Diceros bicornis minor: one gene and its partner. The protein of the gene in region 1 interacts with the protein of each later gene in a pairwise test. Links are inferred from orthologs where the notes say so. Each region holds a gene or a part of one and is shown on either strand. Other genes may lie near its edges.

What was found.
Region 2: the proteins of KPNA5 (region 1) and ANP32B interact in binary tests that used the Homo sapiens proteins (3 or more experiments, as listed by UniProt). The two-hybrid records come from large-scale screens. The link is inferred for Diceros bicornis minor from reciprocal best matches to the Homo sapiens genes KPNA5 and ANP32B.

The regions. Positions count from the first base shown.
Region 1 is NC_080762.1:19,217,463-19,233,640, reverse strand, and holds the start of KPNA5 (importin subunit alpha-6), read left to right. Parts: upstream 1-5,577; 5' UTR 5,578-5,712; coding exon 5,713-5,716; intron 5,717-9,440; coding exon 9,441-9,574; intron 9,575-11,454; coding exon 11,455-11,556; intron 11,557-11,680; coding exon 11,681-11,780; intron 11,781-15,826; coding exon 15,827-15,921; intron 15,922-16,178. Other genes in the region: ZUP1 (zinc finger-containing ubiquitin peptidase 1), read right to left, coding at 497-1,058. UniProt on the Homo sapiens protein: Functions in nuclear protein import as an adapter protein for nuclear receptor KPNB1. Binds specifically and directly to substrates containing either a simple or bipartite NLS motif.
Region 2 is NC_080767.1:8,234,795-8,250,972, forward strand, and holds the start of ANP32B (acidic leucine-rich nuclear phosphoprotein 32 family member B), read left to right. Parts: upstream 1-6,876; 5' UTR 6,877-7,118; coding exon 7,119-7,172; intron 7,173-16,178. Other genes in the region: HEMGN (hemogen), read right to left, coding at 6,017-6,045. UniProt on the Homo sapiens protein: Multifunctional protein that is involved in the regulation of many processes including cell proliferation, apoptosis, cell cycle progression or transcription.

The DNA of each region.
Region 1 (16,178 bases):
CACGATCTAACTGAGAAATATAGAACACTCCACCTAAGAACAGCAGAATACACTTTTTTCCCCAAGTGTCCATGAACATATACCAAGATAGACCGTATACCGTATCTTAAGCCATAAAACAAATTTCAACAAACTTAAAACAACAGAAATCACAGAGTGTGAACTCAGTTACAGAAAATCAAAATCCAAAACAATCCAGATGCCATTGGGCTGGTGGTAAATAAAACAACGCCCTCTGGAAACTGGACTCTGAGTCTATTTCTCCTCAGAAAGGTTCTACAACTACTCTCAATGTAGCTGAAACATTTATTATCTGCATCAAAATTCTTTTCCATTATTGTATTTTTATATTACAATAATGGCAAATGAACAAAATTATAGATATAAAGTGAATTTAAAAACACATTTGTAGTAACCTGATTTACAAACTAACTTTCAGGACTCCACATATTAAACTGAGACTACTGTTACTTAGTATAGAAAATGAACACTTTACCTTCTAATGGAGTGTCTAAAAGATTGGCATGCTTTGTTTTCACATGAGTTTCCATATCTTGACTACAATCTTCTATTTTTCCACAGAATGGACATTCGGGAGGACTATACATTGTTTCATAAATTGATCCTTTTATTTTGGATAGGTCACACTCTTTTTCTTTACTTTTTAGGAATTTTCTAGATCCAGTTAAGTCTTCTGAATAAAAAGCGCTATGTTTTAAAGTACCATCTTTAGGCAAGCTTTGAGTTGAAATTTTCGGATGATTAGATGCACAAGCTGAATGAATACTTGAATTAACTTCCGATCTACACTGTAGGGTGTTGTCCTCCCTATTATCTGAAGTTCCGTACTGCACTGTATTGATCCTCTCAAAGTTTCTTTCTAGTTCATTTTCTTCAAAATGAGCAGTTTCAATATGAAAACACATTTCATCATAATTCACACCCGACAACTTGCAAAATGGACATACAACTTCGTTTTCCATGTGAACAACCAGGAGGTGAGCCTTCATGTCTGGTTCTGAGGTTACTGTTTCACCACAGATATCACAAGAAAGCATGGTACATCAGGTAGCTAGAAAAAAACAATATTATTTTAAGTTTGAAAGTAAGAGTTGAAGAAAAAGAAAATGCATTTTGTAGAATGATTTAGAAGAATGATGCTTGTTATTTAAAACTGGATTATTTAGATAAAGAAATTTTCAATGTACTTTTTGTTCCTCAAATTTACAAACTTATTTATAAATCTCAACTACTCACTATTGTATTTCAAGTTTACGGTTTCAACAAAACAAATGCAGTAATACTGCAAAATAAATAATTTTTAAAATATTTCAAAAAGTGTGTCTGGTTTAAGGTAGAGATAAAATAACGTTTATAAAATTGCCCAGGTATGATGAGTCAGGTAAGAGAAAATAAAGAGAAGAAATCTTATCAACTGATGTATCTAAGTACAAAACCTTAAAGTTGTTAACAATGCGGAGGCTAAATAAAAACATCATAATTAATAGTAGTTACCAGTTAAAGAGCTTTACAGATATCAAACTCATTTAAGTACCATTACAATTAATCTGTATGGCGAAAGCCCTAGTTGAGATATGTCACCACAGCCAGAAAACGGTTAGCCAAACTGCTAATCTATTCCGGTTCCAGAGGCTGTACTCTCAACTGAAAGAATAAAAGCAGAGTGCGCATAGTTGAAAAGAGCACTGATTCCAGAGACAAGAGAATTGGGTTATAATCTCAGGTTTTAGAATTTTGGATAAGACACCTCACCTCCCTGAGGTTCGGTCTATAAAATGAGTGGCACTAAATCAGCAGTCACTTTGGGTTTTATGGACTAATAAAGTACTGGCTACCGACAAAAAGGTGATTTTGCTAAGAAATCATCTTTAAAAAGCAAACCTCGCCACAATCTTCGTACTTCCTACTACAGACCATCGTTTGGCTAAGGACTAGTTAAAAACAAACAGGAAAAGAAAAATAAGAGAACTATTTAAATAAATTTAGCTTTACAAGAGCTCCCTACATTGCCCTTATTTTCTCATTTTTCTTCAGACAAGTGAAAATAGTCTCTGAGTTTAAAAGGAAATTCTCTCAAACCCCCAGAGGAAAGAACGTCACACCCAGAGAGCTTGCTCTTTTCCCGCGGCTAAAACAAAGCTGGACACAGAAGGATACACTTGACCTCCCAAACACCTTGATCAGAAAAAGTGCGTGAGAGACATAAGGAGGCCGGTGACAGGGCCGGAATGCCCCAAGGCCGAGTCTGCCCGAAGTTCCGCGCCAACGTCCCGAGCCAGGGCATGAAACCAGGACGGACACTAACTGGGGGAAAGCCGTGGGCCTGAGGAATGAGGGCTGGGACTGTCCGTTCCTACCGGCCCGGAGATACGGCGGCGGCCACACTGCTCTACGCTGGGCTTCCTCTCTGGGTCCCGCCGCTGCCGCCGTCTGGCTCGCCGGCAGAGGAGTGCGTGCGCGGCGTCGATTACCTTTCCCGGCCTGAAACACTGAGGCAGGCCCTCCCTACACCCAGAGATACACAGTTAACCAGGAAAAGACCCAGCGACTAAAAAACAAAAACTCCGACCTCCACTTTCACATTTAAAAATGTTCTTCCTCTTCCCCAGAAGGGAAGGACTCCCGGCATGCACCCTCCTTGCCGGTCTGGGTTGTAGTGCATTCTGGGAGTCGTAGTCATTTTTGCATCCTCCCATCAGGGTTCCGACGCCAGATTTACCAGGAGACACACTAGGCTCTGAGGTCTTTCTGAATGAATTCCCAGGGCTGGTCCTAGGGCATTATTCGAGTCCACGATATCCGTTGTCTAGGGCCTGATTAAGTAGCACTCCATTCTATTATCACTAAAGGGCTTATAATGCTACTAGGTGTCAAACTCCAAACTATGCTCTGCAGATGGGGGATGACTAAGCCAGGTTCTTGCCTCAGAATCACAAGATCACACGTACCTTATATTTACTGTTCAGTCCTTATTTCATTCAACAAATATTTAATGAGTGTCTGTTAGAAAGGCATTCTGCTTGGAAATGGGGCTGCAGCACTAATCAAAATACATAGGCCATTTGAAACACATTCTAGTGAGGCAGAGAAAAAATAAACAAGTAAATAAACTGATCATGATAAGTGCTATGAAGGAAATAAAGCTTGGTTATTTATAGAAAGGACTAATGTAGTTAGAAAAAGTCTCTCTGAGGAGGTGAGTGTGCTAATGAACAAACCTTTCACCAACAGGAGGAAGAGTGTTCCAGGCAGAGAATATAATAAGAACAAAGTCTCTAAGGCTGGAAGAAAAAGAACATTTTGTGACCTGAGTATAATGTTCTAGAAGGAAGAGTGGCTACAATATGCGGTCAGAGTTGTAGACAGGGGCCAAATCATGTAGGGCTTTGTAGAAAGCTATTGGAGTATTTAAATAGGAGAGTGGCATGATCTGATGATATACAGTATATTTTTAAAAATCATTCTGTGGGTTGAGTGCTTAAACATGGCAGATTGAACATGTACGTTTATATTCCCTGCCTTTCAAAATCTACTATAATGACAAAGCAATAATAATAATAAAAATAAACTAATGATATTTTAACATTTTTTTTTTTTGTGAGGAAGATCAGCCCTGAGCTAACATCCATGCTAATCCTCCTCTTTTTGCTGAGGAAGACCAGCTCTTCAGCTAACATCTATTGCCAATCCTTCTCCTTTTTTTTTTCCCCCAAAGCCCCAGTAGATAGTTGTATGTCATAGTTGCACATCCTTCTAGTTGCTGCATGTGGGATGCGGCCTCAGCATGGCTGGAGAAGCGGTGCGTCAGTGTGCACCCTGGATGCGAACCCCGGCCGCCAGTAGCGGAGCAAGCGCACTTAAGCGCTAAGCCACGGGCCAGCCCAATTTTAACAAATTTTGAAAGCTAGAGAAAGGATGGATGAGTAGTAACTAACTTAGCTAACAACAGAAGTCAACAAAAAACAGGTTAATTCATACACCAAAATGCTGGAAATGTTCAGAAATTAAAGACTAGATACTTCTGAAAAATATATTAAATTTGGGCCTGAAATTAGGGACATTTTGCTGAAAAGTCTGAATAAGGAGCAGTTTGAACCCTACCTCCAGATTTCCTCTATTACCTGGTTGCCAAGTGACTCATTTTTCCCTCCCAGACAGAAGGATACAGCTTTAGTTCATAAAGAAAATGAACTGGAAAGGCTACGAAGTCCAAAGTGCACAGCTAAGGGTGGGAGTCAAGGTGTTGGACTGAAAATGGAGAATAGTGAAAACTAAATTCTGAATTATGAGGCCCCTACCCATTTTCCCCCATCACATTCTGATGTCTGATTTGTGCCTCCAAGTCAGGAGATTGGAAAATTCTTCTCCAGCGAAAACCATTCGTCCAAGAGAAAAGACCTACAGATCATGACTTTTAGAAAGTCCTCCAATGAAAGCACCCGGTCCCATTTTATCACTCTGTAGGGAGGTCAACAACTGGTGAGTAAACAAGCCCCACTGATATGTAGACTTACAATAGGTTTCTTTAGTGTCTCACTTAAATATGAATGAATACTCAACAATCACCAGGAAAGATGAAAACCAAAGGGATCAAAAAGAAAAAAAAAAAAATGAACTCTGAAGAAACGGAGAAAATGAATGAAGGAGAAAAAAAAAACTCCAAGGAAACGACAATTAACGTCTTCAGCGAGACAAGAGAAGATATTTAATCCCTGAATCAAAAATAGGAAATAGCTCTTGGGATTAAAAAATACAACAGCAGGATTACTTAGATATATATATCAATAAAGAGCTCAAAGAACCCACGAAATTTCTCAGAAAAGAGAACAAAAAGAACAAGAGATGGAAAATAGGAGCTTCTTCAGGACAGGAATTATATGTTAACTTTGTATTCTGTGCCTAGCATTGCACCTGGAAAACAATGTTATTAATACTGTTTGTTGAACTCCAGGGTGAGTTACAAGGCTATACGTGTGTTATAATAATTTAGAGTACTTTATCTGGAGTTATTCATTCCATATATCAGTGACTACTTTGTTGTCAAAAATCCAGATGTTACACAGAATCCAATACTATAATTGAATGGCAAATTGAAAAGCTTGAAACAAACGAGAAGAGCATATACGAAAAAGTTAATGAAGCTGAAGAAAGAAAGAGTCTCTGTAAAATTCGATGATGTTGGGATTTTTATCCGTTGTGTACAATGTTGTAGCTCCAGTACCTAAAGCAGTGCCGGGCACAGATTAGGCCTTCAATCAATACTAGGTTGTAGAATGAAGGAATGAATGAACCAATGAATGAATGAACGAACTAACGAACAGTGAGTGATGAACGAAGACAGCTCCATGGAGGACTGGGAAGGTAGGACACACTCCTGCCGCAGTCGGGTTAAAATACCGGAGTCGGCGCAGGCGCCGGCTCCGCCTTCGGTGGGTGGGGCTGGGGCGCGCGCTTCTCTCCGCCCCTCCGCCGGTCCTTGCAGCCGCCGCCGCCGCCACCGCTGCCGCGTGCAAGGGCTTCTGGGAGCCGAGCCTCGGGGTCTCGGGGAAGGGGCGCAGATGGCCGCCATCTTGAATTGCGAACCTGGTCGTTGGGCTGCACGCTAGGGGCGGAGTGGCGACTCTACTGTTATCTGCAGCAGACCCCGCAGCCGGGGACTGGAAAGTGGGGGCACGGGTTAGTGCCACATTAATGGGTAAGTGGGAGTGACACAGGTCAGGTTGGGTGAGCCTCGGGTTTGGTCCTTGTGGGAGCTACTAGTTCCTGGGGCCACTGTCTATTCACCCCTTTCCTTGCGGAGGGTTGAGGACCATGCCGTACCGGGGCTTTTCTCGGGTTCCCCTGCGGGAGACAGCGGTGACGGGGGCGTGGCAGCCGGACCTTTCCCGTGCGGACGCGAAGGCGCGGGGAGTCCAGATCCTCTGACAGCCGGGCTGCTCCTCGGAAGGAGTTTCGGGCAGCCGCTCTCATCCTCTCGCCGCCCTGCTTCCCCGTTCTCGGTCGTTCCTCTTCTCGGTGCACGGTCTTGCCAAACGTGGCCGCTCACTCCCGGGACTCAGCGTCTGTGTGCGTCCGGCGGCTTATTAGAAGTTCCACGGCGTCCAGAATAGGGCAGGTCCGGCCCCGGGGGCCTACATGCCGCACCCTCTTCTCCGCCAGCTGCCCTCCTCCACCGGGAGGCAGGTGCTCGAAGAGCTCGGTCCCGACGTCCCCACGCCGGGGTTAGACGGTTATCCTGTCAGGTCCCTTCCAAGGTGAAGAGTTAATAGTGTTTCCTCGATAATGCATAAGACATGAAAAGAATTTGAAAGCTGGGAAACGGGATCGTGATACTTAAAAGAATATGATATTGGCGTTTACTCGTGGCTTTTTGAACACATTCAAAAAGACTTCTGACTTGATGTCTCTTAATTACAACACTCAGTGATTCATAGTTTGTAGGAAAGGGACTTTCTTTCCTGGTAAACAAGAAAAAGCTCTGTCCTTTAGATCTTTAAGTCCCCTGCTAGTTTGGTTGCAGGGGCTCAAGTCAGCACACTTCCCCTCTTTGTGTGGTCTTGTAATTTTGCTAATAGGCACCCAAACCCTAGAAATGGAGGCTTGACGGACACAAGAAATTCCGTTAATAGATATTAGAATCCAGTTCAGATTCCAGTTATGTGCCTAACGTCAATACAGCTTTTCAAAGAGCTGGGTAAAAAACAAGCTTATGACTGAAAAAAAATTTCTCTGCTCTGCAACTTTGAAGTGTCTGAATAGCATTTCTTATATTTAAAATAACTTGTATGAGACAGCAGCCTTTGAATACAGTCTTGAACGTTATTTTCCAGACAACGAAACAATCTCATTGGGTGAGGTATCTTGAGAGATCATTTTCCTTGGACTTAACGTCCCCTTGAAAGCAGCTGCAGTGAGAATGGATGCAAGTTAAATAACAGGCAGGAAGTTAGTCCATAGAAGAAAAAGGAACAAATAATATGAGTTGTTGGGGCTAGATTTTATTTGGTTAACATTTATATTGAAAGATTTTAGTGTAGTCGCCTAGATTAATGGTCTTAGAAGTAGTGTCTAGTGTGTATGTTGGGGGGGGCACAGGTGGAATTTGCAAAGCAGTTTGGCAGTTTCTTATAGTGTGAAGCATGTACTTGCCATATTACCCATCAGTTCTACTCCTAAATATTTACCCGAGAGAAATGAAAACTTACATTTACCCAAAAACCTGTACATGAATGTTTATAGCAGATTTATTCATAACTGTCCAAAACGAGAAACAACCTAAATGTCCTTCAACTAATGAATGGATAAACTGTGGTATATCCATACAATAGAATACTACTCAACATTAAGAAGGAATGAACTGTTGATAAATAGCAACAACATGGATGACTCACAGATACACTATATTAAATGAAAGAAGCCAACTCAAGACTACATACTGTATTATTCCATTTATGTGAAGTTCAGGAAAAGGCAGAATTATGGAGATGGAGAACAAATCAGTGGTTGCCAGGTATTAAGGGTAGGAGGAGGGCTAATGGGAGCAGCATGAGGAAGTCTTTTGGGGATAATGGTTATATGCCTTTGCATTTGTCAAATACATAGAACTGCATACCAAAAGAGTGATTTTTACTGTATGTAAATTAAAAAATAAAACGATTGAATTCATTATTCTCGTCTCAAAAACAAGCAGGTAAGCAAACAAAGCCACCACTCTGATCCTCCATTTGTATTCATTGTCTTGGGTTATTTGGCATCATACTGAAATAGCTCAAGCTAAAAACCATGGAGTCATCCTTGACTCCCTTTTCTTCTTACCACATATGCCTTATATTCATTTGGCCTAAAATTCTTATTGAATTAAGTTCAGAAATGTTTTTGGAATCCAGTCTGTCTTCTGTATCTCCAATGCAACTATTAATTTAGTTTAGGGCTTCATCAACAACCATCTCTTTAATTTCTTTAATTCTGTTCCTTAGCCTCAAGTCCAAATTTCTCAACCAGATTACAGGAACCATATGTGATCTTACCTACCTTTCTAGCTTTATCTTCTGTCCGTTCCGCCGTGCATCCTCTTGTTCAGGCACACTCAATTACTTACTGTTGTGTAGTTCTACTAGGCTTTTTCAAGAACTCTGCCTTTGCATATATTCTCTCTGCTTGAAATGCTTGTTCCTTCCCTCTTCCCTTTGTATGCTTTTCCCTGGCAAATTCTTGCTTGTCTTTTAAGATGGGATAACTATGAAGCCTTTCAGAGCTCCCTAAGGCACAGTTACTTGCTATGTCTTCTGTGCTCTCACAGGATTTAATGCATATGTTTTAGTGTACCTTACTACTAACAATATAATTTGCCAGTTCATTAGTCTATCTCTTCTACGTCAGAGATGGCAGATAAATGCCAGCCTCTCCTTCTCCTGTGTTTACTTCATAAGTGCTAATTGATCACAGCATTCTCTCTAGACGGACGTGGGTATGTCCTCAGAATTTATCAGAGTAACATTCTAGGTAGCCACTAATTATCTCTCATATTAAAGTCAAGTTGAAACCCTGCTTTAGATTGATTTTTTTATGTGTAAATCTAGAATAGGTTATAATATCAGTAATTTAGTATTCATTTCAGATAATAGCAAAATATCAGTATAATACTATTATTAAAAAGTGTTTATAATTCGTTTTCTAAAAGTAAAAATTACATATATTTCAAATATAAAATTTCATATTTATATAAAATAAATATTTTAAATATACTAACAATATAATGTTTATGTGAATGTTAATGTTTTTAAATACATCTGTAATAAAACTGTTTAACAATAAAGTATAGAAATATTTCAGTATTTAAAAAGAAGTAATTATACTAAAGTTCTCAAAACTGGTATCAAAGTCATGACTCACATCATGACCCGCGTGGCCTTATTTACTTAGGGCCTTAAGTAAATGAAAGAAGCCAGACTCCAGTAAATCTTTGAGGTGTGCTTATTGAAGCCTAATACCATATTTCACTGAATTTAAGACACTTCAATTCTGGCTGTTTCCTCATCTTGCCTGAAGCTGTAATTTAGAAGTTTTTTACCCAACTGTGTCATGATTATTTCCTGGCTGACAGTGATTTTAAGATGGATTCCACTTCAGAAAGTTTAAAATACCAGGGATGGGGGAGTGCATCTTAGAATCAGTGAAATTAAGATAATGACTTTGTGTTTAGAAAATCTATTATTTGTTTGATAGTTTATTCCTAAAATATTTTGCCATTTTGTTCCAATTTTGATATGGGAGTGAGAGGATATTCTTTGTGCCTCATTTTCAGAGTGGGTTTTGCCGATCTCTTTAATCCATGAGCCTGAATTTAGCAGCCCTACAGTAAATATTCCGTGTTGCTTTCAGAGTTATCAGTATCTGTTTTCTTCTCTCCTAACCTTAAGATGCCATGGCTAGTCCAGGGAAAGATAACTACAGAATGAAAAGTTATAAGAATAAAGCCCTAAATCCTCAAGAAATGCGTAGACGAAGAGAAGAAGAAGGAATACAGCTTCGAAAACAAAAGAGAGAAGAACAGGTAGGTGTTTTAAAATATTTAATTCTGTTTAATACAAAACATTATTATGTACAGATTTTAAAAGTTTTATTGTTGTTAATTTTTGGATAATTTTAAATGAAAAAGTATTTTAGGACATTGAATATACGTAAATCTATTCTTTAATTTATTAGTCTCCAGGGTTAACATTAGCAAATTCATGAATCAGAATCCTTTGCTATTTTAATCACTGACAGGAATGGCTTTTCTGTTGCATTGATAAACCGTTTATGTTAATCATATTTCTACCCCACTGCTAAGAAATTTTTACTCTTGAGCCTATTTAGGTCACTTCCATTTGTCATTGTAAAATTTGCCCCCTAAAAAACATTACTTATATTCATTTGTTGCTTTGCAGTTTTCATAGCTCTTGCCCCTAAGTTAATTATAAGCATCTTCCTATGCTATTCATATTGTTCCTCCTATAGTCTCATCATCTAGATCTCAGCCTGCTCTGTTTGAACTTTGTATCTATAATATATGGAATAGAAAAGTCATTTAAAAGATTGCATCTCAACATTTTTCATTCCAGGATATACTTAAATTTAGAAGTATTCATAAATATTTAGGAGGGTGTTGTCCTCACACAAATTAAATCTAGTATATGAAAAGGACTAGCAATTAAGAAAGTGGAGGAAGGCCTGTTTTAGAAACATGATTATAATTTGTCATCTCTCTATCTGTAGTATCTAGCACAGTCCTTACTATATTATAGTAGGTACTCAAAAAAAAAATCTGTTGAATGAATGATTAGAAAGAGAACTGTGTACAGATTGAAGAGCAGTTATTTTTGTATCTCTCAAAAAGAATATGATGCCAGATTTTTTTTCCTTAATTGATTTAGAAGATGTACCTATAAATCTCTCTCAGTTACCTTACCATGTCTCTTTTCTCCTCTTTTTTTTTTTGAAAAACAGAACAGTTATTTGTTCGTGGACTTAACTTCTAGTTCTTAAGCATCCATGAGGTGCTCGGAACTGTACTAGGTACTAAAATTATGGCAAAAACAATAAAAATTATCAATGGATATTTCTGAACTACTTAAAAAATAACCATTTGGAAACAAGATAACTATAACCATTTCCTCCAGACTTTTCAATGAAAAGTAACTTTGTAATTCATAATTACCTATTTATATTATTTGTTCAGCTTTATATTTTTTAATAAAAAGTACTAAATAAAACTTGATGTTTAAACTGTATTTTTTTATTGCTGTAAAAGTGACATTACATTAGTTTCAGGTGTACAACATAATAATTGAATATTTGTATATGTTGTAAAATGATTGTCATAGTAAATCTAGTTATCATCTATCATCACACATAGTTACAAATTTTTTTTCTTGTGGTCTCTTTTTTCCTTTGTGTTTATCCACTACTGAATTAATAAGCATAGGGCCATCTTTCCCTGCAAGTTATTCTCTATTCCTTGTTAATCTGATATACTAAGTTTGTTAAGATACCATATGTTATCTCTCTCATGGAACAGATTTGCTTTTTAATTAAGATTTTCTTGGAAAAATTCTTAGACATTTCATAATCCATTGTGAGCATATGTGCTTTTTCAAATGCTGTAAAATGTAATTGTGTACTCTACTTATGGGCCGGGCAGTTGGTAAAAGATTGGAGATTAAGAATGGCCCAAAGCAGTCTGCAGGGCAGGAGCTAACCTAGCCCGGAAAGTTTAACTTCTCATAGATAATTTGGGTCTTCCTGGTATGATTGGAAAATACTGAAATATTCAGAATTTTAAATGATAAAATTATTAGTTTGTTTTGTTCACTTAAATGAAAAATGTAATTTTATGGGAATTCAGTGTTTTATGGAAAGCTCAATGTATAAAGTGATTTCTCTTTATTACAGTTGTTCAAACGCAGAAATGTCTCTTTGCCCAGAAATGATGAATCTATGCTAGAAAGTCCTATCCAGGATCCGGATATCAGTTCCACTGTACCTGTTCCAGAGGTAGATATTACAAAAATGTATTTCAGATTATACTTCAATAATATTTCAGAGACAGTGGATACAGCAAATATTATTCATGCAAAATATTTAAATGATAAATTGCATTTTCTTTTGTGTGTTTTAGGAAGAAGTTATCACCACAGATATGGTTCAGATGATTTTTTCTAATAATGCTGAACAACAACTAACAGCAACACAGAAATTTAGAAAGCTCCTTTCTAAAGGCAAGAATTATTTTCAATATGCTTATTGGATATTACAGGATTCTGTAGTAGAGTTTTATTAGATATTTTAATACTTAGTATTATTAGATATGTTTTATTTTAAGACACTTTTCTTTGCCGGTAGGTCTTAATTTTTCTTTAAAATATATTTTTAAATAACCTCTATTTTTTAAACATCATATTATCAGAGTAACATGTTGATTGTATAATATTTGCAAAGATAAAAGAATTTTATTTATTTAATTTTTTTTGTGAGGAAGATGGACCCTGAGCTAACATCTGCCAGTCCTCCTCTTTTTGCTGAGGAAGACTGGCCCTGGGCTAACATCCATGCCCATCTTCCTCCACTTTATATGGGACGCTGCCACAGTGTGTCTTGCCAAGTGGTGCATCGGTGTGCGCCCGGGATCCGAACCCACGAACCCTGAGCCGCCGCAGTGGTGCATGCACACTTAATTGCTTGCACCACCGGGCTGGCCCCAACAAAGATAAAAGAATTTTAAAAAGCCAATATAAAAATCTAATATTAGTCCTGCTACCAAGAAACCAAGTTAGGGGTACATATTTTTAAATTCTTGTAGAAATATTTTTCAGACGTCATTTTTTTAAATGACAGCATAACATTAAAGTATGAATGTAAAATAATTTAATCAATCATTTAGTTTTTTCCCAATTTTTGATTTTCATAAACAATGCTACATAAATCCTTGTACAACCTAAAATTTCCTTAGTATAAATTCATAAAAGTGAAATTATGTATCAAAGGGAATAAACAATGTATTAATTTATACTCTCATCTTCAGTTTGACAGGTATTCATTTCACTATATTCTTACCAACACAATTATCTTTAAAAAAGAAAAAAATGCTTATGTAATGGTAGCTCATTGTGTCACACTTTTTGGGTACTCAGGTTGAACATTTTTCTTTAATTATTGACTTGTAATTCATAATTGCCTATTTATGTTATTTGTTCAATTTTATATTGAGTTTATAAAAATTTCTTATCTTACGTTTCATATGTGGAATTTATAGAGTTAGTAATTCTAGTTATGTTGAGTTGTATACATGAACCAATAAGATTTTGAAAATGCCTTGGCGCAGCTGCCTTCTCTTCCTAAGAGAGACAGAATTTAGTAACACATGAGAAATGAAAGAAATCTTGTGTTCAGGTCAGCACAGGTTACAAGGCTTTTGCTTTTGCTTTCTCATTGTAGTTCTTGTTCATAAATACTTTTAAGTTTTGTTTCCTTGTTTTCCAAGCTAAAGTAGCTTAGCAGTGTTAGGAAATCCTTATACACTCAAGAATAGCTTCCTCTTCCTCACCATACTCCACAGTTTTTTTTGTAATTGGGATTATTTTTGAGTCAGATTAATGTTGTAAAATTCTTTTTTACATAATCATATTCTCTTTCAAGATTTCTTTTTGACATATGCATTATATTATAACCTATTAACAGAATTTATTTAGATTTAATTCTGTTTAAGGATGTTACAATTTGCCACTGGTGTTTTCATACCACAGCTTCCCTATTACTGAATTCTTTGGTCATAAGATTTTATCCTTATTTGCCCTAATTCCTCAGGATATTCTGTTTCTTTTAAACTGTATTGTCTTTTCATAAGTCAATGACTTTTGTCTGTTTCTTCATAGTGGGATTATGCTTGCCCAGGTCGGGCATACAACAGGAGTTATAGATGTTTTCTTTTACTGATTGATGTGCGTTCCTGTCAAATTCATCAGGCCTAGAAAAATATTAGATTTACTGTCATTTTACTTGATCCATCTCTGTAGAAAACATGGGAAAGGAGCCAGAATTAGAACTGGAGCTAAAATGTAACTCCTCTGATTTAAGTCATGATAGTGACATTTTACTAGAATCTCTTATTTACTTTCCTGTCATGGCCTCTCTTGTGGATGTAAATCACAAGTTGTCCTTTTCTTCAATCCTAGTTTTATAGAAATTTCTCCAAGTCTTTTTTCTTGTAGATGACTCTTCCTTAGTTTTCAGTGCTGAAGCAGGTATTCCTCTATATTACTTATGTTTACATTGCCATGTTGACTAAAACTCTTCTCTGTAATAGTTTATCACCTTTATACGATTATATAGGCTATTATTCTGTCAGTATAATGCCAATGTGAAAGTTAATAGTTCATGATACCTGTTAGTTTAGCTGATGTTCCAAGTGCACTTATAATTGTTTACTTTTAGATGAAAGTAACCATAAATGTGTTGCTTTCAATTCTCCAGGAAGATACTATATTTGAGTTCTTTCATCTATGTATGTATCATATCTCTGTATATCTATCTATATTATAGATATAGCTAACAGTCTCAATACCCAGTTCTCACCCTCTAACCAGGAAATCCTACATTTACTTCCTTCTCTCAACCTCCCCTCCCTCTCCCCTCCAATAAAAAGAGCAAGACAAAATTTTTGTCCCTTAAAAAAAAAAAGAGGATAGTAGATTTAGAATTTTCCTTTGGAAAAAGAAAAAACTAGAAGGTGAAGATGGTAACTACAACCTTATAATTTTGTTTTGATATTTTTAAAGGTGGGGAGTAAAAGCATTAATAATATATATTGTTTTATCCTGTTGCTATTTTATAACCATAACAACAGTTTAAGCTAGGGTCTGGAATTTGCGTTTTGAAGAATCCAGATATTTCATTTAGAACACCCAAATAAAGCTTTATGGGTATAGCTTTACTAACTTTGCGGAAATCTCTAATTTTTGATCAAGTTAGAAGGATAGCAAATTTGTAGAAAAAAGAAGAAAAGGAAGAAATAAGTCCATTCCTAAGAAAACCTTTCTTAACAATCGAGAACATGATTTCTAAGATTTAAGCCTGTTTAAAACTTAATAATAAAGTTTTTCTATATCAAACAAGCAAGATTTTTGCAGAGGTTTATGGTTACCATTTTATTTATTCATTCTGCTGAATAAATACAATATGTTAATGTTTATATGTGAGTTATTTACGTTCAGTAACATAGTCAAACAGAGGAATGAAGAAAAGAAAGAGTCAAAGTGGAAATGAGATTTCTCTTGTGTGACTAGGTAGGTGGACACATACCTCAGTAATAGACAGCTTTGGGTGGTGGGCATAGGACAAGGGGAAGGAATAAGCATAGTGATATTATGAGTTTCGTTTTGGTTATACTACATTTTAAAGAAGGTGTGAAAAAAAAACATGGCCAATAGGCAGTTAAAAATATGGTCTAGAATCGAGGAGAGAAGAAGTCAGTTATGAAAGTTAAATTTGTGAATTGTCACAAATGATAATCATAAGTAATAATTGAATTAGCAAAATAGGTAAATATTCTAGGAAGAGACTAAATGATGGAAAGAAAACTAACCCAAAGGAACACAAGAGAGAAGTTATTGGAGACCCACAAGAGGATACTTTGTGCTGAAACCAAGGGAGAAGAAAGAGTTCTTGGTCCTTAGATTACCAGTAGCTGAAATATCTTTGTTTTAATTTTACATATCTTTGTTTTAAAATTTCTTAGAGATTTTTTGATTTTCAAAAGCCCTCTGCATTTCATGAAGACATATCAAGAGTTCTAGATAGTCCAGTAGCATTCTGTAAATAAATACTCTGGCAGAATAAAACCTCATTTGGCTGAGACAAGCAATTCATGGTTGATAGTGAAGGAGACATCCTTGGAAACTGAGGTTTGTGTTATAAAGAATTAGTGGGAACTTTATCCCTCAGTTGGCGTTTTGAGTATTGGACTGAAATACTCTCATGTTGTGAAGGTGACCTCCTAAATAGCCTTCAACTTATAAAATTTAAATATTTGTGTAGGAAATATTTTAGAATTTTCTTGTCATTATGGTTAATGAGAAATAATTTACTTTGCGGTAAGCATTACAATTATGAGAACATTTGTCTTCTTCAGTTACATCCAGCTAAGGGTTTAAACTTGGTCAGTGAAACCTAGGAAAGAGTTATTTTCTGTGTCCTGTTAATTGATACAGAGACCTGATAGTTGTCTTTTTGTGTCTTTATAATAACTTCATTCTTTTTGAATTTTTAGAACCTAATCCACCAATAGATCAAGTTATACAGAAACCAGGAGTTGTACAGAGATTTGTGAAATTTCTTGAAAGAAATGAAAATTGTACTTTACAAGTGAGTTTTATAGTTTTCTTTCTTAATCTCTTTCTAGAAATGACATATGATTAAGTTTCTAGTGAAAGTGATACTTCTACAATACTGAATATATTGTAAGCATTGAATAAATACTTGGCAACTAAGGAAAAGGTACTGTCACCTGTCTTTCCTTGATCCTGGTTGCACTGCTAGTGTCTTCTAGGAACTATTATTTTATTAAACAATTTTTGGAAAAGTGTATAAAATCACTCCTAATTTTAATGAAAATTTTGTAG
Region 2 (16,178 bases), on another chromosome or scaffold:
TGTTGTTTATGGCTATTACGAATAATGCTGCCATAAACATTCATGTACAAATTTTGTATGGACATATATTTTCATTGTCTTGGGTATATACCTAGGAGAGAAATTGCTGGTTCTATGTTTAATTTTTTGAGGAACTGCCAAGCTGTTTTCCAAAGCAGTTGTACCATTTTACATTCCAACCAGCAATGCACAAGGGTTCCAGTTTTTCCACATCCTCACCAATATTTGTCGTCCATCATTTTTATTATAGCCATTGTAGTGAGTGTGAAGTGCCATTTCTTTGTGGTTTTGATTTGCATTTCCCTAATTCCTCATGAAGTTCAGCTTCTTTTCATGTTCTCATTGGCCATTTGTATATCTTCTTTGGAGAAATGTCTATTCAAATTCTTTGCCCATTTTTAATTGAGTTATTTATCTTTTTGTTGTTGAGTTCTAATAGTTCTTTATATATTCTGGCTACAAGTCCCTTATTAGATATATGATTTGCAAATGTTTTCTCCCATTCCATTCATTGTCTTTTCACTTTCTTGATAGTATCATTTGAAGCACAAAAGTTCTTAATTTTGATTAAGTCCAATTTATCTCTTTTTTCTTTGGTTTGTTGTGCTTTGGGTGTCACATCTAAGAAAGCTTTGCCTGGGCCAGCCCTGTGGCTTAGCACCGACGCACCGCTTCTCTGGCCATGCTGGGGCCGCGTCCCACATACGGCAACATAGGCTGTGCAACTATGACATACAACTATCTACTGGGGCTTTGGGTGAAAAAATAAATAAATAAATAAAAATTTAAGAAAGTTTTGCCTAATCCAAGGTCATGAAGATTTACTCCTATGTTTTCATCTGAGTCTTATAGTTTTAGCTCTTATATTTGTCTATGATCCATTTTGAGTTAATTTTTCTATATGGTGTGAGGTAGAGGTTCAACTTAATTCTTTTGCTTGTGGATATATAATAGTCCAGCACCATTTGTTTAAAAGACTATTCTTTTCACACTGAATTGTCTTGGCACCCTTCGGTTGTCAACTTTGTCATTAGTTGCAAACTGACTGACAAAGATTTTTAGAAGATTCTACCTAGTCTAGGCAAGGGTGAGGGGAAGTCTTATACACTGCTAATGGGAGTATAAAAGAAGTACAGCCTCTGAAGGGCAATTTGCCATGCATATCCGAAGTTGAAATATATATACTCTGATTCAGGAACTGTATTTCTAGGAATTTATTTCAAGGAGCTAATGGTACAAAGATATTATTTATAATGGTGAACAACTGGAAGTAACCTAACATCTATCTGTAGGAGACTAGGTAAATAAATTATGCTACATCCATACAATGAAAAATGACGTTGACTTTAAAAATGATGAAGTAGATCTATATTTATTGACTTGGAGCAATCCCTGTGACCTACTGCTAAGTGAAAAATAAAGGCATGTTACAAAGCACCATTTGTGGTAGGATTCCATCTATATAATATTATATATTTTACATATGCATGTACATACATAGAGATAGCTCGGAAGATATTCACAAAAATGTTAACAGTGGTTGTCGCTAGGTAATGGGATTTTGGCTGGCTTTTTTTCCTTCTTTATACTTTTTGCATTGCATGAATTTGCTGCATGAATATGTATTGTCTTTATATTCAGAAAAAGAAAAGCTATTTTCATTTTGTAGAAGAATGTCCTCATGGAATATATATTGTAGAAGACTATTCAATGGCATGGAAATATGTTCATAATGTATTGTTAACTGAAAAAAGCAGGTTACAGTATCATCCCAGTTTTGAAAAATTTTTTTAAATGTAATATATACAGTATTTCCTAGGTACTATGACATTTTTTTTCACTACTTACTATTTCTCAAATAAGGATGTCTCTTCTAATCAATATGAATATTTAATGTAGTGGGTTCCCACCTCCCTGCCTCCCTGAAAAGCTGTTATTAATGAGATGATGCTTCTGGCAATCTGAGACTTGAGAAAGTGCCATGTGTGTGTAGAGAAAAGACTGGAGTAATAGACACCAAAATGTGAGCAGTGCTTAGTCCTGAATTGAGCTTTTTATCTTCTTCTTTTTGTTAAGGATAGTTTCCCGTTTGTCTATAGTACATGCACAGGTAAACATAAAAAGAAACCAGGAAAGTGGCTGCCCTGCTTTTCAAGGAAGAAAGGGTGTGAAGGTATTGAAGACTTTTGGCCTCCACCAAAATAAAAGACTAGCAAATCAGGGAGCATACAAACCGCCTCAGTAGTGTCCGAGTCTAGAGTGAGGACTAACTTGCATGCCCACCGAGGGACCCCTGGCCGGGCAGGAGCTGGCAGAGCAAACTCGAGAATAGATGGGGGAGTTCAGTCAGCAGGGGCAGGACTCTTGGATCAGTCTAAGTTCTGTGCGGACAAGGAAATCCCCGTGAGGTAGGAGAGGGTCCGGATGGCGGCAACACTGGCTAATTATGGAGGACAGGGATGCCCAACACTGTGGGCCACTCAGATGTTGTCCAGTCTAGCTCAGAAGCACATTCCCAGCTCCTCAAGAGAGACCAAGGACTGTGTGAAACAGAAAATGAGTCCACCCCTTTCGAGAGTCTAAACATATTGGTTTGGGGCGAGCCCTTTCCTCAGCCAAAGGGGCAGGGTAACCACAGGAGCTGAAGGACATGGAGCAGAGGTAGCAGACTGGTGGCCACAGCAGAACTTCAACAACCCCAGAGGAGGCCAGCAAGCTCTGGGCCTCTGCCAAGGGTAAGGGAGGGACCCAGGCTTGCAGTAACTGTGGCCCGGGGCACAGAGGAGAATGCCAGGCACTGTGCCAGGTAGGAGCTTCACCTACATGATCATGTCTAATCCTCACAACAGCCCCAAGATGAGCAGCCTGAAGTTCAGAAAGGTTATGTGGTTTGTCGAAAAGCACACAGCCGGTAAGTGATGGAATGGGATTCCCACTTCACTAGACTCCTTCTCTAAAAAGGGAAAAACATTGAGCACAGTTAATACTCATATTTATCATGAGTATTAACTCATTATTTACTGTAATGGTAGACGGAAAAAACAAGTTTGAAAAAAATCTTCAATCTGATTCCAATATTGTTTTTTTAATTAAATATGTACAATGTAGAAAAAAAACGCTGCAAGGATATACACCTTAACGGTGGATGTCTCAATGGTAAGAATTTAATTCTTAAATTTTTTCTGTTTTTTTTTTCTTTTCCCCCACAATCAGCATGTAAATCTTCTTAAAGCAGAGAAAACAAAAAGTCTTTTCAGAAGCAATTGTGAGGACTAGTGGATCAAAGTAATGAGAATGAATTACAGTGAGACCTTAATGACAGAGAAATCCAGGCTCTTACTAGCTGTGTGAGTTCCACTTGGCTTCGCTGGGCCTGTTTGCCAAACAGTGAAAGGGGATTATGGTCTTGTACCAGTGAGCTGTTGCCGGGATTAATTGAAACGCAATATACACGAAAGTCCCCCGCACAGTACTTGGCATAAGCATGGTGCTTAATAAATATTAAACCTGACTCTTAGTAGTCATTGCTCTTCCTTGCTGCCCCAGGAAGGCCTGGCACCTACAGCTGTTTCAGAGAGCAGAAAGGAATCTGGTGCCCTTCAGAGGGGCCCCTGGATCTACAGCTGCCTACACACCTGACACTCCCCCTCTGTTTTTACCGTCTGGAGACTAATAGAATCTCATTCCTTAACCCACTTTCACCTAACTTTTTGCTTCTCTCTCTCCCTTTGTCTCAACAATCTCAGCTGTCTAGATAGTATTTTTGAGTACAGGCGACCGACATTATTTTCAACATAACATGCATTTGCAGAGCATCTATGTTCTAAAGACGGCCCCAGGCTCCTGCTCTTCATTCCTGTCATTCAGAAATATTTGTATGAGCTCAGTCTAGTTGAGAATTTAGATCCTTCAACAACTCCCACGTGTTGCCTAACTGCTAACAGGTACACATACCATGTGGTGGAAACTCAGAGGCACATGTGTATGGGAGAGGAAAGGAAGAATGAAAGTATTTAAAGAGTAATGATTTCCTCACCCTATATTTACATCAGCTTCGTACACTGTCTTGACTAAAGAGAAACTGTGCCCATTCTGCTAAACTGGCTTCAAAGCCAGTTAAAACAATGCTTGAGAGGGGCTGTTTCCTCTCATCTGCAGATGTATTAAAGTATGTTCATAGCCACAAAGTTTGTGGAAGGCTGGGTCATCTGATGATGTTGCTGATGCAGTGGTGTGGAAAGCAGGTCCAAGGAGTTACAAAGTAGCTCAGCGTGTTCTCCTAGGACATTTTGGGGTTTACTGGAATACACACACATTCTGATTAACAGGCAGTTTTAAGACTCAAAGGGGTGCCAAAACTGGGCATTATTTGATATATTTTTTACTTATTAGGCAAACATTAACATCAATGGAATTAAAAAGAGATTCACCCAGAGTTGACTCCCTAACAAACTAAGCTGTTTTCACTTTTCCTTATTCCCTTCCAGCCCTTGTTCAAATCTATAAACCCATGAACATGATACTAATTGTGGATTAGATACAATTAAATACTCTACTCCTTTCTCACACCCAGATGCGTACACAGAATGATGTTAAGTACAGCAATATTCAAACTCAGGGCACTGTGACAACAGCCCCTTCAGGCCTGTGGACTGACAGTCAGTGGAAGATGTTGGCAGGGCTGTGTGACACACCCTGTTCTGCCTGTGTTATTTATGCCTCTGGCAGTGAAACCCCTGACAAAGAAGCATGTCACTGGAACACATGCTCTTTGTTCACAGAGGTGCATGCCAGCACCGGCTGTGTCAGAGGGACAGAACCGGGTCTGTAGTCTCTCCTCCTTTGGCTCGTTTGCTTTCTTTTTATTTGCTGCACATTGTGGCTATGTTTATTAATTACTTTGTAGCTTAATCTTATAAACACACATTTATCTTGTGAGCTGTGTATCATGGGGAAAGAGTCCTTCATACCCTTGAGTTGGTCATAAAAAGAGAACAGGGTTCCAAGATTTGCCGTTTCTCCCCAAAGATCAACAATACACCTCCTCCACGAGCACCAGGTTACCTCTCTCCAGCACAGAGCTACGACGTTCCAGTCTCCTTGGGCACCTCCACTGTACCTGCAAGTCGGCGCCTGTGGGCTGTTTGGTCTTAAAGGCCCTCTACAATTGTTCCCAACTGACTGTTCCAAAGCAGGCCCCCACACTATGACTTCATTCCAGTCAGACTGCTGGTGTAGCAGAAAAGATGGCAGGCTTTGGAGTCAGACCCATCTGGGTTTAAACCCTTGCTCCAGCTCTTGTTGGTCACGCAGCTCAAGGTTCCTGAGCTTCAGCTCCTCATCTGTGAAATGCTTAAAATACAACTTACTTCACAGGCACAGGATTAAATGAGAAGGAACATATCAGGCCCTAAAAGTGGCTGCTCAATCTTGCTAATCAAGTTAGCTCACGAACTGAGTTGCGAGTTTTTCGTAAAAGCCTTCATCTCATGGCCCTGTGGTTCTCAAAACCTTACAGTCACAGACCTCGTGTGACATCCTGAAGAGAGTTCCCTCACCGTTTTCCCGTCACAGAGATGTCTGCTAAGACTAACATTTTAAATACAAGACTCAGGAAACAACACACTAGAAAGTTCTTGCCTTTTCCCATAATCCTTCGAAAACTTTCTTTTGCTTTGAAATTTTAATTCATTCGATACTTTAAAAATTGCTATGTGGTTTTGTTTGCCACTAAATGAACCTAGGTAAAATGGAAGGGGAGAGTCTTTCTTAACTTTAAGAAAACCTTAGGTTCATGCACAGAATTGTAAGTTTTTTTCTATTCATAAGTTGTTCTCAATCTTTGGAGCTTCTTATCTATATTAGAATTAAGATGGTATCTGATTTGACAAATCACGTATTTACTTATTTTACGCTGTGTATAACGTTGCGTTACTTTCGGGAGGTCTGCAAAGCAAACAGTGCTCTAACCCGGACTCTCAGGGTGCTCTCCGAGCCAGCCCATTACAAAGGCTACCTGTGAAGCTTCACCGAATCGGAGACCATCAAGAATTTACCCAGCTCACAGGGGTGCCCTAAGAAATAAATAAGATAAAAGTCTGCGGGAAAACTCTGTAAAACTCCGAGGCCCCGTTAGAAATGCTAATTGCTGCCTTCGCTAGCCCATATTTAAATGTTAGAAAACCAGGGAGATCCTCCTGAACTCAGGGACGCTCGGCTCCTCTGTGGCTGGGGCAAGCGGTCTGGGCTACCCCCGGCCCCGAAGGCCGACTCCGCCCGGTGCCACGCGGTACAGCGCCGGCAGGCCACGATTTCCGCCCCCGACGGGGGTCCCCGCAGCACTGCCACCACCCCCCGGCCACGGAGACAGCCGGGTTCAGGCCCCACACTGCGTGGGGAGCTTAAGGTGAACCCGAAAGCTCCCGTCCCGCGCTTTCTGCTAGTCTCCTGCCTTCGCGGGCGTCGGGCTGGCTACGTCGAGCCTCTGCGGACGGACCTGGCCTTAGGGACCCCCGAAGCCGGACTGTGCAGCCTCCCCCAGCCCTCCCGGCAAACGTCCAAGCCCGGCCCGGAGAGCCGCCTCGAGGCGCGGCGAGCGGGGGCCTGGGGGTCTCAGAAGCCCCCGAGGAAGGTCTTACATCAGCCACCCCACGTGCGACCGGAGGGAGGGAGGGAGGAAGCCGCTGCCGTCCCCCGGGCTGCGCCTCTCCCCCCAGCCTCCGCCCCTCCCGCCGCGCGTCTCCCCGCCCCGTCCCTGGTGCAGCCGCGGCCGCCGAGCCGAGCGGCGCCGCGCGGGGCCGAGTGGAGCCGAGCAGCCGCCCGCGCCGCGTCGCCGGTTTAAGCGCAGTGCGGGCCCGCGGCCGGGGGCGGCGGTAGTGAGACCAGCGCCGCGCTCCAGCCCCCTTTTCCCTCCATGGTTTCTCTCCGCTCCCGCGAGTAACTTGGCTCCGGGGGCTCCGCTCGCCTGCCCGCACGCCGCCTGCCGCCCGGGACCGCGCCGCCGGCCTCTGCCGCGAGCAGACCCCTTCCGACGGCCCTCGCCGCGCAGGCCGGGACGCCTCTCCCCCCTCCGCCCCCGCCGCGGAAAGTTAAGTTTGAAGAGGGGGGAAGAGGGAAACATGGACATGAAGAGGAGGATCCACCTGGAGCTGAGGAACCGGACCCCGGCCGCGGTAAGCGGAGCCCCCCGCGGGCGCCCTCTCCCCCGATGACTTGCATGTAATGGTGGCCACCTGCGGGGCCCGGGCTCGGGCTCGGGCTCGGGCTCGCCGGCCGCGGCGCGGGAAGGGCGCAGCTCGCGGGCTCGGACGGGGAAGGCAGGCGGGCGGGCGGGCGCGGAGGGGGGAGCGAGCGCGCGGGGATTAACTCTTTGGCGCCCGCGGACCCGCGGCCGTCCGGGGAAGGTGGGGGAAAGCAAACTTGGAGCTCCTCGCCCGCCACGGTCCTCTCCCCGCCAAGCGCGTGTGCGTGTGGCCGGTGGCGAGGGAGGGCGGAGGGGGTTGTGTAACGCTGGGAGCCATGTTTGCAGCCTCCCGGGATGCGCGGCCCGGCGGAGGCCGGGCCTGCCGAGGAGGCGCGCGGCCATCCGGGCTGGGCCCGCCGCGGGCCACCGGGCTCCGCGCGCCCCGGGCCGCCGGGGAGGGGGCTCGGGCAGGGGCTCCTCCGGCCGGGCCGCGGTTGGCGCCAGCCCGGCCGAGGACGGGTGCCGTGGGGCTGGGGGCCACTTTCGCCACGGAGCGGGGCGAGCAGCCCCCTCGGGCGCCGGGGGGCTCGGGCGGGCGCGGCCTGGCGCGCGCGGGGCGGGGGAGGGGCGAGCCCGGGCGGCGGAGGTGGCGCAACTGCCGCCCCTCCGGAGGCCAAGTTTGAAAAAAGGATGCGGTTCCCGCCATTTTTCAAGCCTAAAAATAAAACTTTCTCCCCCCTTCCCCTCGCTACCCTCGCGCCCTCCGGGCCTGCCCCATTCCTGGCCTCCAGGGCGGGCGCCGGTCGGGTCGGCCGTGGCGGCGGCCTAGCACTCCCCCCCCCCCCGCCGCCGCCGCCGCCGCCCGGGGCCCCTGCCCCGGAGGCTGGCCCCTCGGTGTGGGCGGGCGGCGGCTCCTCGCGCCAGCCGGGCCGCGCCACGGCCGACACAGCGCCATGTTGGCGGGCGCTCGTCTCCCTCCGCCGCGTGAGCCGGCCCGCGGCTCCAGCCCGCCCCCAGCGCGGGCTGCCGGCCGCCGCTCCCCGGCCGAGCCCGCGGCTTGTTTTCCGCCCGCCCTCCGCGCCGGGGCTCCGCTCGCACTGGCGGGAGCCGCGCGCTGCGGCCGCCGCCGCCTCATCTCCTTTCGGGCGCTGCCATCCCCTCCCCCTTCTTAAAAGGGCAACGCCAGGCGGCCGCTCCGCCGGGCCGGGCTCCGGGGTCTGGCGGGCCTCGGCCGGGCTCGCGGGCCGGCGGCCGCTAGCCCCGCACGTGCTCCAGGGCGGCTGACCGAGGCCGGCGCCCGCCCGCCGCGGCTGCGTGAGGCGGGCGGCTCTTTAAGAATCGCTTCTTTCTTCTCCGCTCCGGCCCGCCCCGCGAACTAGGGCGGCTTCCCGAGGCCGGGCGCGGGGCCCTGTTCCCCGGCCCCCGCGGGGAGGCCGCGCCTCCGCCAGGCCCGCTCCTCGGGTGAGCGGCGAGCTCTGGCCCGCGGGAGGTGCCCCCGCCCGCCGCGGTCCAGGGGTGCGCGCCTTTCGTGCAGTCAGGTCGCCGTGGGTAACAAGTTGCCAACTTGTGGAAACTGGTCCACCGGGGTTTACCTTGTGCGCACGAGGGTTTTGAGGTCGCCACAAATGAAGTGCGGGGTGGGCCGCACCGCGTGGCCGCCCCTCGCTCCCCTGGAGGACCTGAGGGAGTGGGCGACTCCACTCGCTCCCCCCGGTTTGAAGGTTGAGGTTTGACCACAGTCGCCCCTGCCGTCCATCAGTCAGACATTTTGTGTCGGCCACGTGCTAGTATATCGAACTGTTCAGCGTCTTCACGCCGTAAAACTTGAGTCGTTCATTGTGAGGAGCAGCTCATTTCAGACGTTGGCATTGTGACTGCGTAGCTGCAGATCGGTGAATGTGGACTAATTAAATTTAGCCAAAATTTCCAAAAGAAAAGTAGCACATGGATCTTCAAAGTGTTTTAAAATCGAGAATTTGAATTTTGAATGTGCTTAAACTAAAACGCTTAAAATACTCGATAAGAGCAGTGTTGTTCCCTCTGGGAAATAAAACTGGGTTGATATTCCCATTATAAGTGATTTTTTTCATATATGAAATAACCAATGATATTGCTTTTTAAAATGCATATGTATGTGCGAGTTTTAATTTTTCAAGTAGTCGACTTAGGCCTTACTGGCTTGTCAAAGATGGGCCAGTCATGTGGCTATTTAATTAAAATTAAATTAAAAGATCACTATCCACATTTCAAGTGCTCAAAAGCCACAGGTGACTTGTGAGTACTGTATTGGACAGCGCTAGCCTACAGAATCCGCTGGTTTATTAAACAAACACTTGAGTACCAACAATATGCCAGGGCCTGTAAAAGCAGTGTGAACAAGACAGAGCAGCCCCTTCCCTCCTGAATCTTCAGGACCTGGTGGTGCTTGCTGCGCTGGTGCATGTTATGTGCCTTAGGAGAGTGTTGTGGGAGCCAGCCCAGACTGGGGGGGTAAAGGCTCCCCCAGGCCTCTGGCAGGGAGACTGAGACCAGTGGCAGTTAGGTTCTTAGGAGAGGAAAGCTTTGACCTAAAACTGAAGCATTTTCAGGAAAAAAAATGCTGTAGAATTAGAAGGAAATTTTAAGAGTTAAAAAGTGTTTTGCACAAAAGCATCATCCTTAGGGCAAATGAGTAGTTCCAAGATCTTTTAAAACCAAAGTCAGCTGGTGACATGGCTCCTTAGGTGTGTTGTGGGGCTAGCTGTTCGAGAATAGGCCCTGTTCTCTGGCCTACTCAGGATCGGGGATCCTGCAGGCTCTTGTCATTTGGGGAAACAGGAAGAACCCTTTCTTCATTGAATGTGCTGTTATAAGATGGACAGGAGACTCTTAAATGCACAATAGTGTATCCTATAGTTGACCTTAATGTCATCAAGTGAGATCTAAGAGGAGGAGGGTAAGTGGAGCTTTGATCATAAGTGATTTTGGCTTTTGTTTTTGTTTTGGGGTTTGAAGAAGACCCTGGTAACACTTTACCTTCTTGTATTCTTTGGCCAAAGTACATGAGACCAAGATAATAGGTTTACTTCACCTATTACTATATCTTTATTCCTTGTAAACACAGGTACGTTTATTTCCCTAAGGGGAGACTTGTAAAGAAATATGTAATTCAATTTTTTCAAAGTCCACAACAGCTCTTGATATCAGAGGTGTGTTCTCATAGTGGAAAAAATGGCCTAAGATGGCGTTTTAAAGTAATCTTCATAAAGAATGGTAATCACCATTTAAAAATATCTTATAGGCAAGGATAGGAAGTATTTTATGTAAAATATTTGTATTGTCCGTTACCTCACTGAGAACATATTGTACAGTTCTAGAACATGCCATATACACCACAGAAATTGGTGGTATTGTCAGATGTGAAAAGAGACAATGATGTGCAGTAGTGAGATATAAACCAAATTTATCATATTTCAAAACTGGAAAAAACCCGTGTTCTTTATGTGAGGCTCTCATCCTTGCATTACACCAAATATGCCACTCTGTTATGAGCACCTCGTTAATAACTACGAATCACGGGACAGCTATCCTTGATATTAGCTGTGTTTGAGTTTTTTGTTCAAAAAACTTAGATTTTCCTCAGTTTACATCTTAAATTGTTTTCCAATTTTTGGCATCTGTTGTTGTGTCTATTGTGATGTAATTTGGAGCTCAATGGGATATTCTAATTGGTTGCATGGCAACTAGTTGGGTTTTTTCCTTGTATAAGTAATACATCTTCATTGAAGAAAAATTAGATATCGATAAGCAAAAATAAAAAAATAGAAATCTCTCACACACACATTCTACCATCTAGGCATTCTCGTGTATAGTCTACTAGAATGTTTAATTTTTTCCAAACTCAGGTAATGTTATCGAGGCATATACTGTCTTGTTGATTTTATTTTTACATATATAATACAGTAAATATCTTTCCATGTTACTGTTTATTATTTTACAACGTCATTGTTAATGTCTGCATAGATCATAGTTTAACCATCCCCATTGGGTGGTTAGAAGTTTTTTGTGGTTTTAAATAGCACTGAAATGAACATCTTGTCACGTGAATCTCTGTCTTCTGCCAAATTGCATTTCGGAATGGTTCCCTTCTTTACCTACCCACCAGTAGGATATGGGTGTTTCCTTGCTTCATGCCAACAGTTCTGCCACCTAAACACATCTGAGAACCACTAACATAAATTTGTTCTGTCATTTTGAAAACATTCTTTAAAATAATAGAAGGGTAGAAGGTTTGAACATTGGTTAACTCAGGATGGAAGTTGGCAAGGATGGCAGGAGTTACTTTTTCTTTCTACATTTTTGGATTATTTCACTTACTACAATAATCGTGTAAAGAATTGATAACTCAAAATGACCTTTAATTCCTCCATCCCCCCCATAACAATTATACCTGTTATAATTGGGGAGGGTCACCCAACCAGTTAGGTAAAATTGATCTTTTTTTTTTAGAGTAGCTGGGGGAGTGGGAAGTGAGCACAAATTGGAGAGGATGAAAGGAAAATCACCTGGATCACCTCTGGCCCCCTAGCTCCTATCCCCCTAACTTGGCTACAATAGAGTTCAGATTTTTCAGTGAAAAAGTAGTAGAACACACTGCTGTTTTTGCTGATTGCTATAAAAAACAGAAACAAGAGTTAAATAAGAAATAGTATGGATTTTTGGGTTTAGTTTTTAAATGTTTAAATTCATGTTTGAGAAAAAGCTAGTTTAATTGGAGAATGAGGGATGAACAAGAGTGAATTGGGCCCCAAAAGTTAAGCTATCGGTCTTTGAACGGAAGGCCGGCTAAGTCTACCTTGGACCAGATAGCTGCCTAAGCTGTGCACACAAATGCACAAGTGCCTGCCTGGCCTTCCCTCCTTAGATGATAGCCCTGGCAGGCTTGGGGATTTGTTTCTTCCTCTTGTGAAGGAGAAACTAGGGCCATTTCTCCTTGATTAGAACCTCTCATTTATTCTGGATCTAGATTGGGAGGCCGTGGGATTATATGGACACCTCCCCCCCACCCCTGCTCCCTCAGTCTGGATCCCCTCACAATCAGGAAGGAGTGGGGGAGAGAGAGGACTTAGTTATCTCAAATGCTGCTGACACAATGCCTGAGAACACTTCACCAAGGTCCTGCTTAGAGCCTTAAACAGGCTAGAAGGGTGTGATGGCCGGCTTTCCAGACCTGTCATCCTCAGGCTCAGCCCTAAGTAGGGCCCTCCTATGGTCTCTGCTTTCTGCAGTAATTCTCACTCTGCTCTGTGCTTATTCCCCAGTAGCTCGTCCTCTTACCCTGCCTCTGGAGGTAGCATGTTTCTTTACTACATCCTTGGCCTTCCAAAGGTCAAGGGACGTGCGTCCTCTGCTGAGCGGTACAACCCTCTGCCCTACTCACCCCGGTAAATTACCCCAGTAATTCTGTTGCCTCCTACTCAGGGAGAAAATTAAAGGTCTCAGGTGTGTATTCCCTCAGCTTCTTGCTCTTCCATTTTGTAAACTCACCTGCACCTGAACGCCTCCTAGCCTTCTCTTCTCCACAGGAAGAGCTGCCCTACCTCCAACAAGAGTAGCATGATAGATCTCACTTTTAATATTCACTTTTTACTACTTACAGTTGAACAATTTTTTATGTTTACTGATGATTTGTATTTTTTATGGCTTGTCTGGTTTTTGTCAGTGTTTCTTTTGGGGTATTTTTTCCTCACTTGGGGTAAAAACAGTATTCTCAAGAAAAAGATAAATGCAAATACTTAGAATTTTCATATATCAAGAAAGGTCACAAAATTAAAAGTTAAATAAATTGGAAGAGAATTTTGCAGTAAGTGTTAAAAGAGAGGTTGGTTGCCTTTTAAATAAAGAATTTGTAAGTCAATAACAGAGACTCTTTTCATATTCTTTCACCTAGCAATAGATTGTGAGGAAGCAATCCTAATTACAGAAGAAATTTTACATAAAAAGATATTATGGCATTATTTGTAATAGGGAAAATTGGAAACATGTTCAGTAGGGAGGATTGTAAAGTAATTTATGGTACATCCATACACTTTAATTTCTTTAGCCATTAGGAAATATTCAGAGTTGTTATTTTAAAGTATGCTAAATAATATAGTTTTATCTCACCTATGTTTAAAATATACAAAGACAGACTGAAAAAATATACCAAAATGATAGTGACAAACAGTATGCTTTGCATTATGTGATTAGGCTTATAATCGGAGAGCGGGATCTTTTTAATCCAAGTTTTCTTTGTATTTCATCATCTGCTGATTCCTCTGAAATCCTGGCACAAACCCTATGCAGCACTCTGACAAACCTGTGACCATTTTTTCTTCATTCAACAGTTGTAAAGGATCTTTCTCATACTAGGATATAGTGGTAACTAAAACAGACACGACCCTGCCATCATGAAGCTTCATGAAGCTTAAAGTCTAGCAGTGACTTTTTTTACCTTTATTTTTTTAATAGATTAATATTCTCATCATTGAAATACTAAATAAAGTTCTATAGAAAAGTCTCCCAGCGGCTCATTTTCACTCCCTGAGAAATTTTATGTACATGTAAGAAAGTGAATGTGTGATCTGTTACATAAATAACATACATTCTGTACAGTTTTCATCCCACAGTATATCCTGGAAATGAGTCCCTTGTTGATGGGCATTTAAGTTTTCTAATTTTTTCAGTCCTTTTTCAATAACTTCTCATGCCTTATGTCATACACCTTTCTGGGAGTTTGAAACTAATGCTTTACCTTTGGGGGTACCGGTCCTGATTCTTCTTAAGTCTCCTTTGTAGGATCCCCCAGGGTCGGTCTTCTTCCTAGGAATTTCATCCTTTCGCCTCTACTTCTGCCCTGATGACACCCAAATACAGAATAACCCAGACCTCCCCTGAACTCCAGCCGTGTCCAGACTGCCTGGGGATACTTTTACCTGGACGTCCCCTGGGAACCTTAAGCTTGATATCCCTTGTGGTATTCATTACATACCTCCTCAACAAGCTGTGCCTTCCTTCTTTCCATCTAGCTACATGGTTCCTGTTTCTCTAAACCAGAACCTCAATTCCTCTCCTCCGTCTTCCATACCCAACAACTAAACCTGCAAATTTGAACCACTTTCTTTTTTCTTTTTTTTTAAAATAATTTTATTTATTTATTTATTCCCCCAAAGCCCCAGTAGATAGTTGTATGTCATAGCTGCACATCCTTTTAGTTGCTGTATGTGGGACGCGGCCTCAGCATGGCCAGAGAAGCAGTGCGTTGGTGCGTGCCTGGGACTGAACCCAGGCCACCAGCAGTGGAGCACGCGCACCCAGCCGCCAAACCACGGGCCGGCCCTGAACCACTTTAACATCTTTCTTTTTCTCCCACTTTCCCCTTCTTGATTCCTTTTCTGCTGTTTGGTTCAGCAAACATGTTCTAACTCATGTTTGAATGCTTTATGGTAGTTTTTGATGACCATTTCAGCAAGTGAACTGAGAGGCAAAATGGCTTAAGAGGCAACATGGCCAACTCTAATTCCTCCTCACTTGGCTTTTGGCATATTAGTGTCATTCTGTATATAATCGTAGAAAATGCCTCAAACCAAATGGAAACATTTTAGCTGTATTTCAGTATAGTACTTAGTGGGTGGGCAGTTACAGTTGACCTTTTTTTTATGGTTTGTTGGTTTTACTTTTTTTTAAAGATTTTATTTTTATTTCTTTATTTTCCTCCCAAAGCCCCAGTAGATAGTTGTATGTCATAGTTGCACATCCTTCTAGTTGCTGTATGTGGGACGCGGCGTCAGCATGGCCGGAGAAGCGGTACGTTGGTGCGCGCCCGGGATCCGAACCTGGGCCGCCAGCAGCAGAGCGAGCGCACTTAACCGCTACGCCACGGGGCCGGCCCTATTATTTTTGATACAAAGGAAATACATGCTTGTAAAAAACTTAGTGCAGATATGAATAAAGTAAACTGAAGGTCCCTGTCATTCCCTTACTCCCTTTCCCCAGAGGTTCCTTTCTCAGCATTTACTGTGTCCCAAGCGCTGCTCTCTACAACTCTATGAGGTGGGTAATATTATCTCCACTTCACAGATAAGGAGTCTGAGGCACAGAGAGGTTAAGTGACTTGGCCGAGGTCACGACGCACGTTGTAAGTGGCAGAGCCAGGGTTTGACCGCAGGCATCTATCTCCGGAGCCCAGCTCTCCTGGGCTCCACCTCTTAAGTTTTCAGATGTTCTGATTTTCATCTGAAGAGGCAAGAATGGCAGAGGGGAGGAAAAAAAGAAAGAAAAGGTGTAATGGGCCTGCGTGCATCCTGAAACCAGGGCTTCTGAAGAGGTAGTAGGGTAGTGAGAAATAGTAAAGAGTTTCTGGTGTTGTGGGTATCACTGACTCTCCAAACCTATTTCCTTCTCTGTAAATGGGGGGAGGGGGGATGAAGAGTAAGTTCTCCATAAATCATAGCAATGACTAGAGTAGTATCTTTGGATTTTGTGGGGGGGGGGATGAAGATGTTACTAGCTCCTGTCCTCATTTTAGAACCATCAGCATCTCCCTTCCGTATACAAGTTTGATTAATGCTATTAAACATGGTAGATTTGCTGCATGAATGCCTTTGGCAGTTAAAGCTGTTAATTTGCATTACTGTAAATTGATCAAAACGTGTTAAAAAGTTGCAAATCTCAGAGTCAAGCACAGAGCAAGAATGGCAATAGGGATTAATCATGGTAGATATTCACATAGTAGACTGTTTATTAAATAATCAATATTCACCATCTTCAGATGTGACCCCCTTGGATGGATTTGAATTCTGAATTTTAGGACCACCAAAGAAGGAGATTTTATGGCCTGAAAAAAGCAACCTAATTTAATGTCTAACAGTTCTCTCCCCTAGAAATATCTTTCTCACATGTAACCCAAATTGATCTTTGTTTTGAATTAAGGCCTCTTATATCTTGATTCCTTCCTCGTGTCAAGATAATCTTAGTA